3 linked regions of the Pelodiscus sinensis genome follow. The protein of the gene in region 3 purifies or fractionates together with the protein of the main gene of each other region. This does not show direct contact. Links are inferred from orthologs where the notes say so. Each region holds a gene or a part of one and is shown on either strand. Other genes may lie near its edges. The genes, in order: myosin light polypeptide 6, MAP2K1 and ras GTPase-activating-like protein IQGAP1.

Region 1 (3,745 bases), on a different chromosome or scaffold from region 3:
GAGTCCTCGTCTCTCTCCGGAGGGGAGGAAGCGGCCCTGTTTCACTGGGGAAACTGAGGCACAGGGTGGGCACAGCCCCACCCAGGGTGCAGAGCTGGGGGAGGGGGGAATGAGCTGGCGTGGGAGACAGTCAGGCCCTGCCCCCACCCCTAAGGATTCATGTGTCAGGGCAGGGGAGCCAGTTTCACGGATATGAAGGGGGAATTGCATCCTCCCCACCTAGTGCCAGGCCGGGATCCCCCCCCCCCAGCACCCTGTCAACAAGGGGAAGCGCTGGAAACTTCGTGGCATTCAGGTGCCCGAGTCACGTTTCAGCCGGTGGCGCTGGGCCCCGGTCCCTGCTCAGCACCGCGGGCGCCCTGCCAGGCTCGTTAATAATAATCTACGGAGAAACCCGCTTCATGGGACTGCAGGGCAGGGGGGGCACGTCGGGCCGTGAGCCAAGCCCTAATCAAACCGTGACGGGGGAGCAGCCAGCTGGACTTTTCCATCAACCCCTGCTTAGCCTGCAGGGCTGGGCCCAGGGCCAGATCAGGACAGGCCCTTTTGTTTCCACTCAGGGTAATTTCCAGGTGCTAATCAACCCACCCAGGGGCCGAGGGACTCTCACGGCGCTGCAGCCACCTCTGGGGTGTGCCCCCAGTAGCTGCTTAGAGCTCGGGGCACCCCGTGCAGAGTGCCGGATGCCGGCCGTACCTCACAGCAGCATATGAGAAGGGGTAAATCCTCGGCTGAAGCCACCCTCCCCAGTCACAGCCAGTACCCCCCTAACACACACACACCCCCACGTTCAGTGCCCCAGGACTGTGGCCTACAGCACCCAGCCACGGACCAGGCTGTCTGCCCAGCTTTGACAGAGCGGTGTCCCCAGCCCATCGCTGCTACCCCTGCCCGTCCCTGGACTTCGGAGGGGCTAGAGACGCGGCCCAGGCCTTGCTGCGTGGCGCCCGGACGCCTGGGTTCTAATCCTGAGGGGGGGAGGCCGAGGTGCTAGTGCAGGAGCAGGGGGGCTGCTGACCCACAGAAAAATCAGTGGGGGGGCCACAAGTGACGTGGCCCCCCACTGGGAAGGTGACAGACACGTGCTACGTTCGAGCCTGGGGCGGGGGGTGCTCAGCCTAGTAGATTTTGTGTGTTTCAGCCCCATGATGGAGCAGTGCGGGGGGGGGGGGGCGCTGAGGTTCCCCAGCCCTGCACTGGTGGCTTGTGGAGGAGCCCAGATGCAAGGGGGGCCGGGGGAGAGGCTGGGAGTCAGGACTCCTGGGTCCTTAAGCCGCTGCCCCCTGTCTCTGGCCCGGCCCTCACCTTCACCAGCCCTACGCTCATGCCCCTCCAAGCCTGCTTGGGCGGGGGGGGGGGGCATTTCCTCTGGCAGGCGGCCTGGTTCTCTGGTGCATGCTTGGCATGGCTGCTCCCGGGAGCTCACCTCTAAGAAAAGCCCTGGAGTTGGATGGCGGGGGCGGGGGGGGGGGGCTGCCACTTCTGACAATGAATGATGCTCTCCGTTTAGCCCCCCCTCTCCCCCAGCACTGCCCTTATCTAGCGCGCCTCCGGCCTGACGTCACCCCGGGCTATTTAAGCTGGGCCAGGCAGGGCAGCCCCAGGCTGGGACTTTGCCACGGCCCCACAGCCGCCTCCGCCTGCACGAGCCGCCGGGCGCAGCCGCCATGCCCCCCAAGAAGGAGCTGCCGGTGAAGAAGCCGGTGGCTGCGCCAGCCAAGCCGGGTGCCAAACCAGCCATCGCAAAGCCAGCGGCTGCAGCAGCGAAGCCCAAAGCCCCAGAACCGGCCCCGGCCCCGGCCCCACCCCCGGCCCCGGAGAAACCCAAAGAGCCGCCGATCGACCTCTCCAAAGTGGTGGTATGTGGGGTCGTCACCCGGGGGGGGGGGCAGGACTGCAGCTGAGGGGGGGTTCCCCTCAGGTGGTAGCAGCACCCCAAATAGAAACCCACCCTGCCTGCCATGTGAATGGGAGAGGATACCCCAGCCTGCACCGCGCTGCCCACTTTGCCCAGTGCTGGGCAGATAAGAAAACACCCCTGGGACTAGCACCCCTCTCCACCTGCTTCCCCGTGGCCCCGAATACTGCCCCTCCCCCCAGCGCCTGCATTTGCAGTGGGTGGGATGGCACCCCTCCCCCACATGCTCCCCTGATGGTTGCTGGAGGGCCGGGGGCTCCCCCAGGTTTCATCAGGGACAGAGGAGTGAACACCCCCCCTCCTGCAGTGAAGGCCACTATTCTTCCCTTTTCAGATGGGTAAACTGAGGCACAGGTGGGTGCTGCGATTTGCCCAATGTAAACCAGTGGTAGAGCTGGGACATGAACCCAGGAGTCCGGATAGCCCTCCTCCCCCCCCCCCCCGTTAGATCCCACTGCTGTCCCAGAGCTGGGACCAGAATCCAAGAGTGCTAGCTTCCAGCCCCCCGGTCTATCCTCACCCGCTTTCCAGCGCTTCACAGCAGAGCTGGGACTGAAGCAGGGGATGGGAGGGGTCCGTGGAGCAGCTTAATCTAACGGAGACTCATCTAAGCAACCAGCTCCTAGACAGTGGCCAGGAAGGGTGGGAGGTCTAGTGGTTAGAACATGGTGGTGGTGGTGGGGGAAATCAGCGAGTCAGGTCTCCTGGGGTCTGTCCCTGGCTTTGGAAGGGCAGTGATGTCTAGGGGTTAGACAGGGGGATTAGGGAGGCAGGATTCCTGGGTGCTATCCCTGGCTTTGGAAGGGCAGTGATGTCTAGGGGTTAGACAGGGGGATTAGGGAGGCAGGATTCCTGGGGTCTGTCCCTGGCTTTGGAAGGGCAGTGATGTCTAGGGGTTAGACAGGGGGATTAGGGAGGCAGGATTCCTGGGTGCTGTCCCTGGCTTTGGAAGGGCAGTGATGTCTAGGGGTTAGAGAGGGGGATTAGGGAGGCAGGATTCCTGGGTGCTGTCCCTGGCTTTGGAAGGGCAGTGATGTCTAGGGGTTAGAGAGGGGGATTAGGGAGGCAGGATTCCTGGGTGCTGTCCCTGGCTTTGGAAGGGCAGTGATGTCTAGGGGTTAGAGTGGGGGTGGGGACGCTGGGAGCTAGGACACTGAGAGCTGGTGTTATTCCCAGCTCTACCATGGCTTTGTTTCCAGCTCTTTCCAACAATGGCCAGAGCCCCTTGCCAGCGAGACGGCGGTGGGGGGGGGGCTGTTAGACAGTCACAGATGGGGGCCCTGAGCTCAGGCCAGGATAAATTTAGCCAGTGAGCAGGCCCCTGTTATTTTAATGACAGGGCTGGAATGGGCCTGCCTTCCCAGGCAGCCGGCTCGGGAACAGGTGGCCGCGGGTGGGGGGATTAGCACCCCCTTTTCCAGGCAGATTTATTTCAGCCCCAGCGCCGGGCACTGCTTTGCCAGGCCGCCACCTTCTGTGTGAAGGGGGTCGGGTTGCGGTGGCGGGGGCCGGGGAGCCCCACCCGCCAGGCCTCTGTGCAGGGGACAGAATGCAGCAAAATTCCTGAGGCAGTGAGGTAGGGCCCCTATAAAGAGTGTGACCAGGGGGCGATCAGGCCCTTATATGTATTCAGCTGCATGCCCAGCCCAGCGCCCCCTGCTGGCCGAGACCGGGCCTGGTGTCCCTATGACCCTGAGCCAGGGTCTCTGCCCCATCCCCATCCCCACAGCCCCCCCAGCTGGGGCAGGAGCAGACTCAGCCCTCATCTGATCTGGATCAAAACTTACAGGCCCTTTCACCATCAGCATCACACCCATCCTGCCCCCC
Region 2 (3,745 bases), on a different chromosome or scaffold from region 3:
GGTGTAAATAGCTTGCATTCAAATTTGGAGTCCACTCACTTCTCTTGTTGCAATGTTGTATGGAATTCTGGGACTAAAATGAGTAACCTTGAAAGAAAGAACATTGGGGAGATGCAATGGATACCTGCTTTTTAATTTTAGGTGTCAAAATAAATAAATTTGGCCTGTGTCTCAGCTTCTCTGTAAAATGGGGATAACCGTATCCCACACTCACAGATATTTAATGTTAAATCAGATTATGTTTGTAACAGCCATGAAGATCCCTGTACAGGAAAATTTAGATATGTATCTTATTAATCTTTACAACACAATCCAGGGCAGAACCCAGGTGACACTTAGGCCAAACTTCTCAGAAGAGTTCAGCACCTGCTGTCCAAGACAGATTTTCAGAAGAAATCAGCTCCCATTAAGGCACCAGGGTGGTTGGCTAGATTTGTAATGAAGATCAGCACAATGGACACTGAGTGCTTCTGAAAATCTGGTTATAAATATCACAGTGGGAGCTACTAGCTCCTACATAAGTTTGAAAATTAGAGTATTAAATAGGTAACAATGGCAACCAAGCTCATTTGAAAACCCGTCACCAATTGCGGGGCATCGGCCCCGCATGATTAACAGAACTGATGGAACCTCCATTTCAGATGTCCTCTGAAAAACCCACACACAAACTTAATTTAATTTCCCTAACAAAGCAGAAGGGTCACACTGACCTTTCTGGGATAGCAACCTGTATTCCAGGGATTGTAGGTATTTCAACACCTCTGTTTCTCTCTCTCATAACCTCAGGCTAAGAATGAAATGATGCGTGCCAACCTGTTGCCTTTAGCAAACTCAAACTCTTTTGTAATTCTTCATTCTTTTACACTACAGATAATTTAAATACAGACTTCCCAAGCAAGCATGTTTTGTTACCCATAAATTCACAGGTAACCCATAATTTTAAGGACTGCAATCTTTGTTATTGTTGTTAAAAAAAAAGGATCAAATCAGCTAGTCGGTACTTCCCTCTTGATTTTTTTGCAATGTTTTCATTATACCCAAAAAGTGTAGCATCTTGTTTCCACATGAGTATTATTTGTAATCAAATGTGACAGCTGAGGTGACTGAAAGAAAAGATTTTCTAAAATGGACTGCAGTCTGTTATAGAATAAAAAGGAGGAATGACTTTCTGATTTCCAGAGCAAATTACTCTTTTTTACATATATAAAATATTCCTATTGGAAAAAAGTACTTGACATTTGCTAAGTACTTATCATATAGTACATGCACGTGTAAAAGATACCATTAATATGGAAATAACATTTCCATCTAAAATGTTTGTATCTACCAGAATTAAAAACTGTGACTGAAGTTATAAAATTATTTTTCACCTTGTTTACTTTATGCATCTGACAGAATTTTGTGTCGCCAAATTCACTGTCCTTTCTGAAAAGACACAAATATTAACAAGGGGGCAAAAAAAACCCACCCTGGATTATTTTGATTTTTTTTAATTAAGCCTTGATAATGAAAGGCTGCTCTAACAGAACCTTTTGTAACAGTGGCCTTTAAAAAAAAGATCCTGTTGACAGTACCCTGTAACACCTCCTGTGTTTTTTATTTTTTAGACACAGAGATTGAGGCGCTCGTGTTAAGCACCATCGTCTCGCTTTGCTTTGCTGGAGTCCTGGAGAATGTGCAGAAATGTTTCCCGTTATCCCCAGACTAAGAGATTTAGGAGCACGGTCCCCCAGAGACACAGCAGGGGAGCGAATCTTGGGTTGTATCTGCCCCACCCCTCTCTCCTCCAAGGCAGGAGTAACACCCAAGCCCCAGGGAGGCTGTACTCACTCTGCAGTGCTGGTCCCATTGATGGTGGAGCTATCTGGAGCCGGGTTCAGCTGAATTGGCATCGGCTTCTTTTTAGGCATTTTGCAGTAAGAAGAATGGCTCGTCAGTTCCCGAAAATGCCCAGCTCCGGGGGCTCCCTCCCGCCGGGCAGAGTGCGGGGCTCCTCCGGCAGTTCCCGCCGCACTAGGCGATCTTCCCTGCTAGCGCTTCTGGGCTCCTGCGCCGGTCAGCCGGCGGCCGCTCCCTGGCCGGCAGCCGCGTTCCGGGCGCTCAGCGCGGCTCCCGGGGCCGGCAGCCGCTCCCCGCCTGAGCAGTCCGAAGTTCCCCGAGCGGCGCCGGGAGAGCGGACCCTGCCCGAGCTCAAACCGCGTCCCTGCTCGCTACTGTGCATGTGCAAAGCCTCGGCCCGCCCCAGTGCGCAAGTGTGGAGCCGCTGCTCATGGGCACTGGGGAGGGCCGCCTTTTGCAAGCACCCGCCTGCTCCTCTGCCCGGAGTTTCGCTTCGGGTGCGCGGGGGAGGTGTGCGCCCGGGGCGAGCCGGGGACTCGCTCCTTGGGGAGCCGGGGCTGGGTTCTGAGTCAAACGCGGGCCTGCTTCGGATTCTCATCTTCCCTGCGGCCACGCCACGAGAGCTCGGGGCTTCTCTCCCTCCCTTCTCACCACCTCCCATCCCCCCCTTCCTCGTGTACACGCACCGGAGTCACTCCGCGTTCGGTTCACACGCGCGCTCCGGTTGAGAACTGGGCCCCGAAAGGGGATCGTCAGACACAAGCCAGGAGCAAAACGCGCAGCCCCGGCTCGAAAAGAGACGGAGGGGATCGTCAGGTGACACAGAGGGGGGTGAGAGCAGGACAGGATTCCCGTCGGAAGTCACCAGAATGGAGCAAAACAATGGGGAGGTTAAAAACAACGAATAGTCTAGTAGCACCTTAAAGATTAACAAAACAGGTAGATGGTATCACCAGCTTTCGTGGGTACAACCCACTTCTTCAGATGCTAGGAGTGTAGAACTCATGGGGAGGTTGTGACTATGAGCATTGGAGGACAGTCTAGAGCTGTGCATGGGATGGGGTCTACTCTGTGAAAGAGCAATGGGATGCATATTTCAAAAAGCAGAGCATTTTAGACTTTTCCTCATCATGACCTACTCTGTTTGTAACTAGAAAGGCAACAGGAAACTCACAGCTCTGCTGTTCTTCTCCCCTGCCTTCCAATCATTTCTTGGCCAGTTTGGGAGGGGAGGGGTTAAAATGTTCCAAACCGTTAGAATATGTAAGGGTGAATCTTAGGCTCTGTGTCACTAGAACATCATTAGGTTACTTGCACCACAACTAGAGGACAGTCGTTTAATCATTTGTGCGCTTTACAGGATCATAGGCAGAAATTTCTGTGGGGGGTGCTTTCTTGTAAATGTGGTCTGCAAGGGTGTGAATGCACCCCCCTCTGGTCCCCCAAGTAAGCAGGGAAATCAGCCCCCCTTCTCCCAGCAGACCAGAGCATGGGCAAGGGAGGCTCAGGCAGCACTCTCCTGGCCAGCCTGAGCATACTTACTTGGGGGACTCAAGGGGGTGCTTTCCTATCCCCTTGCGTACAGGCCTGCTTTGTATTTAAAAGGGGATTACAAAAGGAACTGTCAACATCTAGTAAATTAATCTGCTATGAGTATGTAACCTTTTGTTTATAATTTTTCAGAAGTTCTGTGAAATGGAATTATGAGGTCTGTAGCAATTAAATTAGCAAATGTCTACCATAAATACTTACTCTGCATATCAGCCTACAGTGTTAATGTTACATGAAGAACAACTTAATTTAATCCCCATATAAAATCATTACTCTGCATACTTTATATATTGAAAGTATTGTATTTATAATTAAAACATTAGCCTGAATTTGCGTATTAATGGTTTCTATTTAT
Region 3 (3,745 bases):
GGGCTGCCTCAGCAGGGTTCTGGGGTTTGCCACCAGGTCTCCTCCGGGCGGGCTGTGTTCTCCTCCCTCCTGGCGGTCGCTTGGATATAGGCACAGTCTGCAACACGGGCGCATCGGGCTGCCTCAGCAGGGTTCTGGGGTTTGCCACCAGGTCTCCTCGGGGCGGGCCGTGTTCTCCTCCCTCCTGGCGGTCGCTTGGATATAGGCACAGTCTGCAACACGGGCGCATCGGGCTGCCTCAGCAGGGTTCTGGGGTTTGCCACCAGGTCTCCTCCGGGCGGGCCGTGTTCTCCTCTCTCCTGGCGGTCGCTTGGATATAGGCACAGTCTGCAACACGGGCGCATCGGGCTGCCTCAGCAGGGTTCTGGGGTTTGCCACCAGGTCTCCTCCGGGCGGGCCGTGTTCTCCTCTCTCCTGGCGGTCGCTTGGATATAGGCACAGTCTGCAACACGGGCGCATCGGGCTGCCTCAGCAGGGTTCTGGGGTTTGCCACCAGGTCTCCTCCGGGCGGGCCGTGTTCTCCTCTCTCCTGGCGGTCGCTTGGATATAGGCACAGTCTGCAACACGGGCGCATCGGGCTGCCTCAGCAGGGTTCTGGGGTTTGCCACCAGGTCTCCTCGGGGCGGGCCGTGTTCTCCTCCCTCCTGGCGGTCGCTTGGATATAGGCACAGTCTGCAACACGGGCGCATCGGGCTGCCTCAGCAGGGTTCTGGGGTTTGCCACCAGGTCTCCTCCGGGCGGGCCGTGTTCTCCTCCCTCCTGGCGGTCGCTTGGATATAGGCACAGTCTGCAACACGGGCGCATCGGGCTGCCTCAGCAGGGTTCTGGGGTTTGCCACCAGGTCTCCTCCGGGCGGGCCGTGTTCTCCTCCCTCCTGGCGGTCGCTTGGATATAGGCACAGTCTGCAACACGGGCGCATCGGGCTGCCTCAGCAGGGTTCTGGGGTTTGCCACCAGGTCTCCTCCGGGCGGGCCGTGTTCTCCTCTCTCCTGGCGGTCGCTTGGATATAGGCACAGTCTGCAACACCGGCGCATCGGGCTGCCTCAGCAGGGTTCTGGGGTTTGCCACCAGGTCTCCTCCGGGCGGGCCGTGTTCTCCTCCCTCCTAGCGGTCGCTTGGATATAGGCACAGTCTGCAACACGGGCGCATCGGGCTGCCTCAGCAGGGTTCTGGGGTTTGCCACTCAGCTGGAACGGGGCAGGAATCAAGTTTTCGTCTGCAAGTCTGGTGTCCTAGAGTCTCGATTTTAAGGGTCACTGCAGGTTGGTTCCCGGTGGTTTCTGCTTCCACCACGGAGGAGCTGGCAGGAAGGTGGCACTTCCGGCCCTTGGCCGGCACGGGGGGGTTGCCACTGTGCTTCAGGGACCACAGCCAGCCGGTGCCGTGGGGCAGAGCTCTCCACTGCCTGTCACTGGCCCCCTGCTGACCTCCTGCAGGGCTGCTGCAATGGCTTCGCCTGGGAACGACGCCGAGGAGGCCCAGTGCCTCCATTGGTCCCGGGGCTCGCTCCTTGCTTTGCGGGGCCGGAGGCGTCTGCTCCGCCGAGGGACCCTTGCGGGGCGGAGAGAAGCAGAAGGTCTCTCCAGGCCCCAGCCGCCAAGCAGGCAACGCGGGAGGGGCGGTGAACACGGTGCCCGCCAGCCATGGTAGGCCCCACTGGAAAGGGCTAGTCTGGCGCAGTCTGAGCGCCCTAGGCGGCTGCAACGCCGGTGTATGAGCAGCAGTTACAGCATCGAGGTCTGTGTAGGCACGTCAGGGTCAGCTCTAGGCTCGTGTCCTGGAGGCTGACACCGGGGACCAGGCTCCTCCTGGAACCGCTGTGGCCGGTGATCCACGCCACGCACTGTGCGAGCAGGCGCGGTGCCCGTGTGCGCCCGTACGGACGGTTGCTCAGATGGGCCCGTGGACTTAGGAGATCCTGGTCAGGGTGAGTGGCGCGTGCCGTGGGACTCTGCCCAGCGGAGGGGGGTAGCGGGGCTCGCTTACCCCGATCTGACTCCTGGCGGCTGCGTGCCAGAGCGGGGTGCCCACTCCTCCCTTGACTGAGTCCATTGCCACTGGGACAGGGATTCAAGGGGGGCTGGCACCGGCAGCCAATGTGTCTTGTGCCACTAGCAGACCCTCTGGCGTGGCTAAGGGTCCCGCTCCTGTCCGGCTGCTCCACTCTACGAGCTGGACCTGTGAACCAGAGGGGGCCGAGAGCTGCCTGATGTGGGTCCACGTGGGGCTCGCCCACAGACTTAATCCTGTTGCTTAGGGGGCTGCAGCAAAGGGACCCGCACCATCCTCTTCGGGTGTAGGCAGACAGCTCCAAAGGAGCACAGTGGTCTGAGGCGTCGGTGCTTGGCGCCATGTCGGGTGAGTGCACCGGCGCCGGAGTCAGGGCTGGCTCCAGCAGGAGGGCACGGAGCCAAATGTTCCACTCCTGAAGCTGTTGCTGATGAGAGCTCTGCCCAGGCAGCACGAACAACTCCCGTGTAGGGCACTGACTGGCACAGGTATCTGCGGGGGTCACAAGATTTGAATGCCGAGACTGGGGCATGCCCCGACCCAGGCAAAGTCCCAAAGGGGGCCAGAACCCCCCCCCCCGTTGCCTAGCCGTGTCCTACAAGAGCAGGGATCCAGCTACACAAAACAAGGAAGAGTCAAAATGAAGGCGGCTACAGTGGGTAGTGGAGCAAAGCAGTCGCGTGCCCCATCACGGGCTCATCCCCAGTGAGGAGGGGGAGCACGCGGCAGCCCGGCTATCACACCACAGAGGTGCCACTCCATGGGCCGCCAGGGGACAGTCTGCACAGGGCAGCACGCACCCCACTGGGGAATGCACATGAGCAAGCGCTGGAGCCCTTGGAGGACAACTCCCATCTGGATGCATCATCTCCGGCTGGTTCTCCCCACGACTCACTGGAGGACAGCTTGGACCCTCTTTGAGAGGCAGGTGTTTTCACCTTCCGCAGCTCATTCTACCACTTGCTTTGACCACGCTAACGGGACACACCCTGCTGCAAACGTTTCTAGCTTCTTTTTTATCTCTGATTCTTTAGAGAGAACTCACGCAGCTGGCTCAAGAAATTGAGAGAGAAGAAACTGAAGGCAATACAGACGTTATCCATCTCCGGAGTCCATAGGAAGCTCTGTTCCATCTATGGCAATATCTCATTGAGTTAAAAAGTAAGTTTTTAGCCAAGATTTGGACACTTTGGACTGCAATCCTCTGGTTTTAGCTGCGAATGTCTTTTCTTCTTGGCTCCGCGTACAATGTTCTAACTGAAGTGGTTTTAAGATCGGTAGGTCCCTCTTCGCAACCCAAAGTGAATACTGAATTACTGGGGTTTTTAATTCCCTTGGCTTTTGAGACGCACCTCTCCCGTGTTTAGCTACAAACATGCCCTAGACCCTCCACACAGACCACCACAACGGCCGGGCTGTCGGAGGCCAAGGCTTGGGTCCTTGGGTGAGCTCTAGCAGACACAGGAAGGAGACCAGCGAGGTCTCCAGCAGGGGCTCTGTCAGAGCCGCCTGGTTTGTCCAACCCCCTCTTCCCTCGAAGTGATCCTGCCTCTTCTTATAGTCTTTGTTGCTAGGAGACCAAGGCTAATTCTAGTCACATCTGCACAGCAACAGCCATTTCCTCATCCCTTGCTGGTGGCAAGGGCCCCTTGCGGGAAACCAGATTATTTCTGCAAGCTCCCCTCCGCCAATATCGCCACACACGGGCGCTTTCTTCGCACCGTGAGCAGCCCCT

What was found.
Region 1: the proteins of ras GTPase-activating-like protein IQGAP1 (region 3) and myosin light polypeptide 6 purify together in Homo sapiens (affinity purification with mass spectrometry; 3 studies listed by BioGRID and IntAct, with this or other methods). This does not show direct contact. The link is inferred for Pelodiscus sinensis from reciprocal best matches to the Homo sapiens genes IQGAP1 and MYL6B.
Region 2: the proteins of ras GTPase-activating-like protein IQGAP1 (region 3) and MAP2K1 purify together in Homo sapiens (affinity purification with western blotting; 3 studies listed by BioGRID, with this or other methods). This does not show direct contact. The link is inferred for Pelodiscus sinensis from reciprocal best matches to the Homo sapiens genes IQGAP1 and MAP2K1.

The regions. Positions count from the first base shown.
Region 1 is NC_134729.1:4,098,249-4,101,993, reverse strand, and holds the start of myosin light polypeptide 6, read left to right. Parts: upstream 1-1,564; 5' UTR 1,565-1,667; coding exon 1,668-1,859; intron 1,860-3,745. UniProt on the Homo sapiens protein: Regulatory light chain of myosin. Does not bind calcium.
Region 2 is NC_134724.1:4,697,757-4,701,501, forward strand, and holds the start of MAP2K1 (dual specificity mitogen-activated protein kinase kinase 1), read right to left. Parts: upstream 2,490-3,745; 5' UTR 1,911-2,489; coding exon 1,831-1,910; intron 1-1,830. UniProt on the Homo sapiens protein: Dual specificity protein kinase which acts as an essential component of the MAP kinase signal transduction pathway.
Region 3 is NW_027465934.1:153,187-156,931, reverse strand, and holds the start of ras GTPase-activating-like protein IQGAP1, read right to left. Parts: upstream 2,331-3,745; 5' UTR 2,326-2,330; intron 1-2,325. UniProt on the Homo sapiens protein: Plays a crucial role in regulating the dynamics and assembly of the actin cytoskeleton.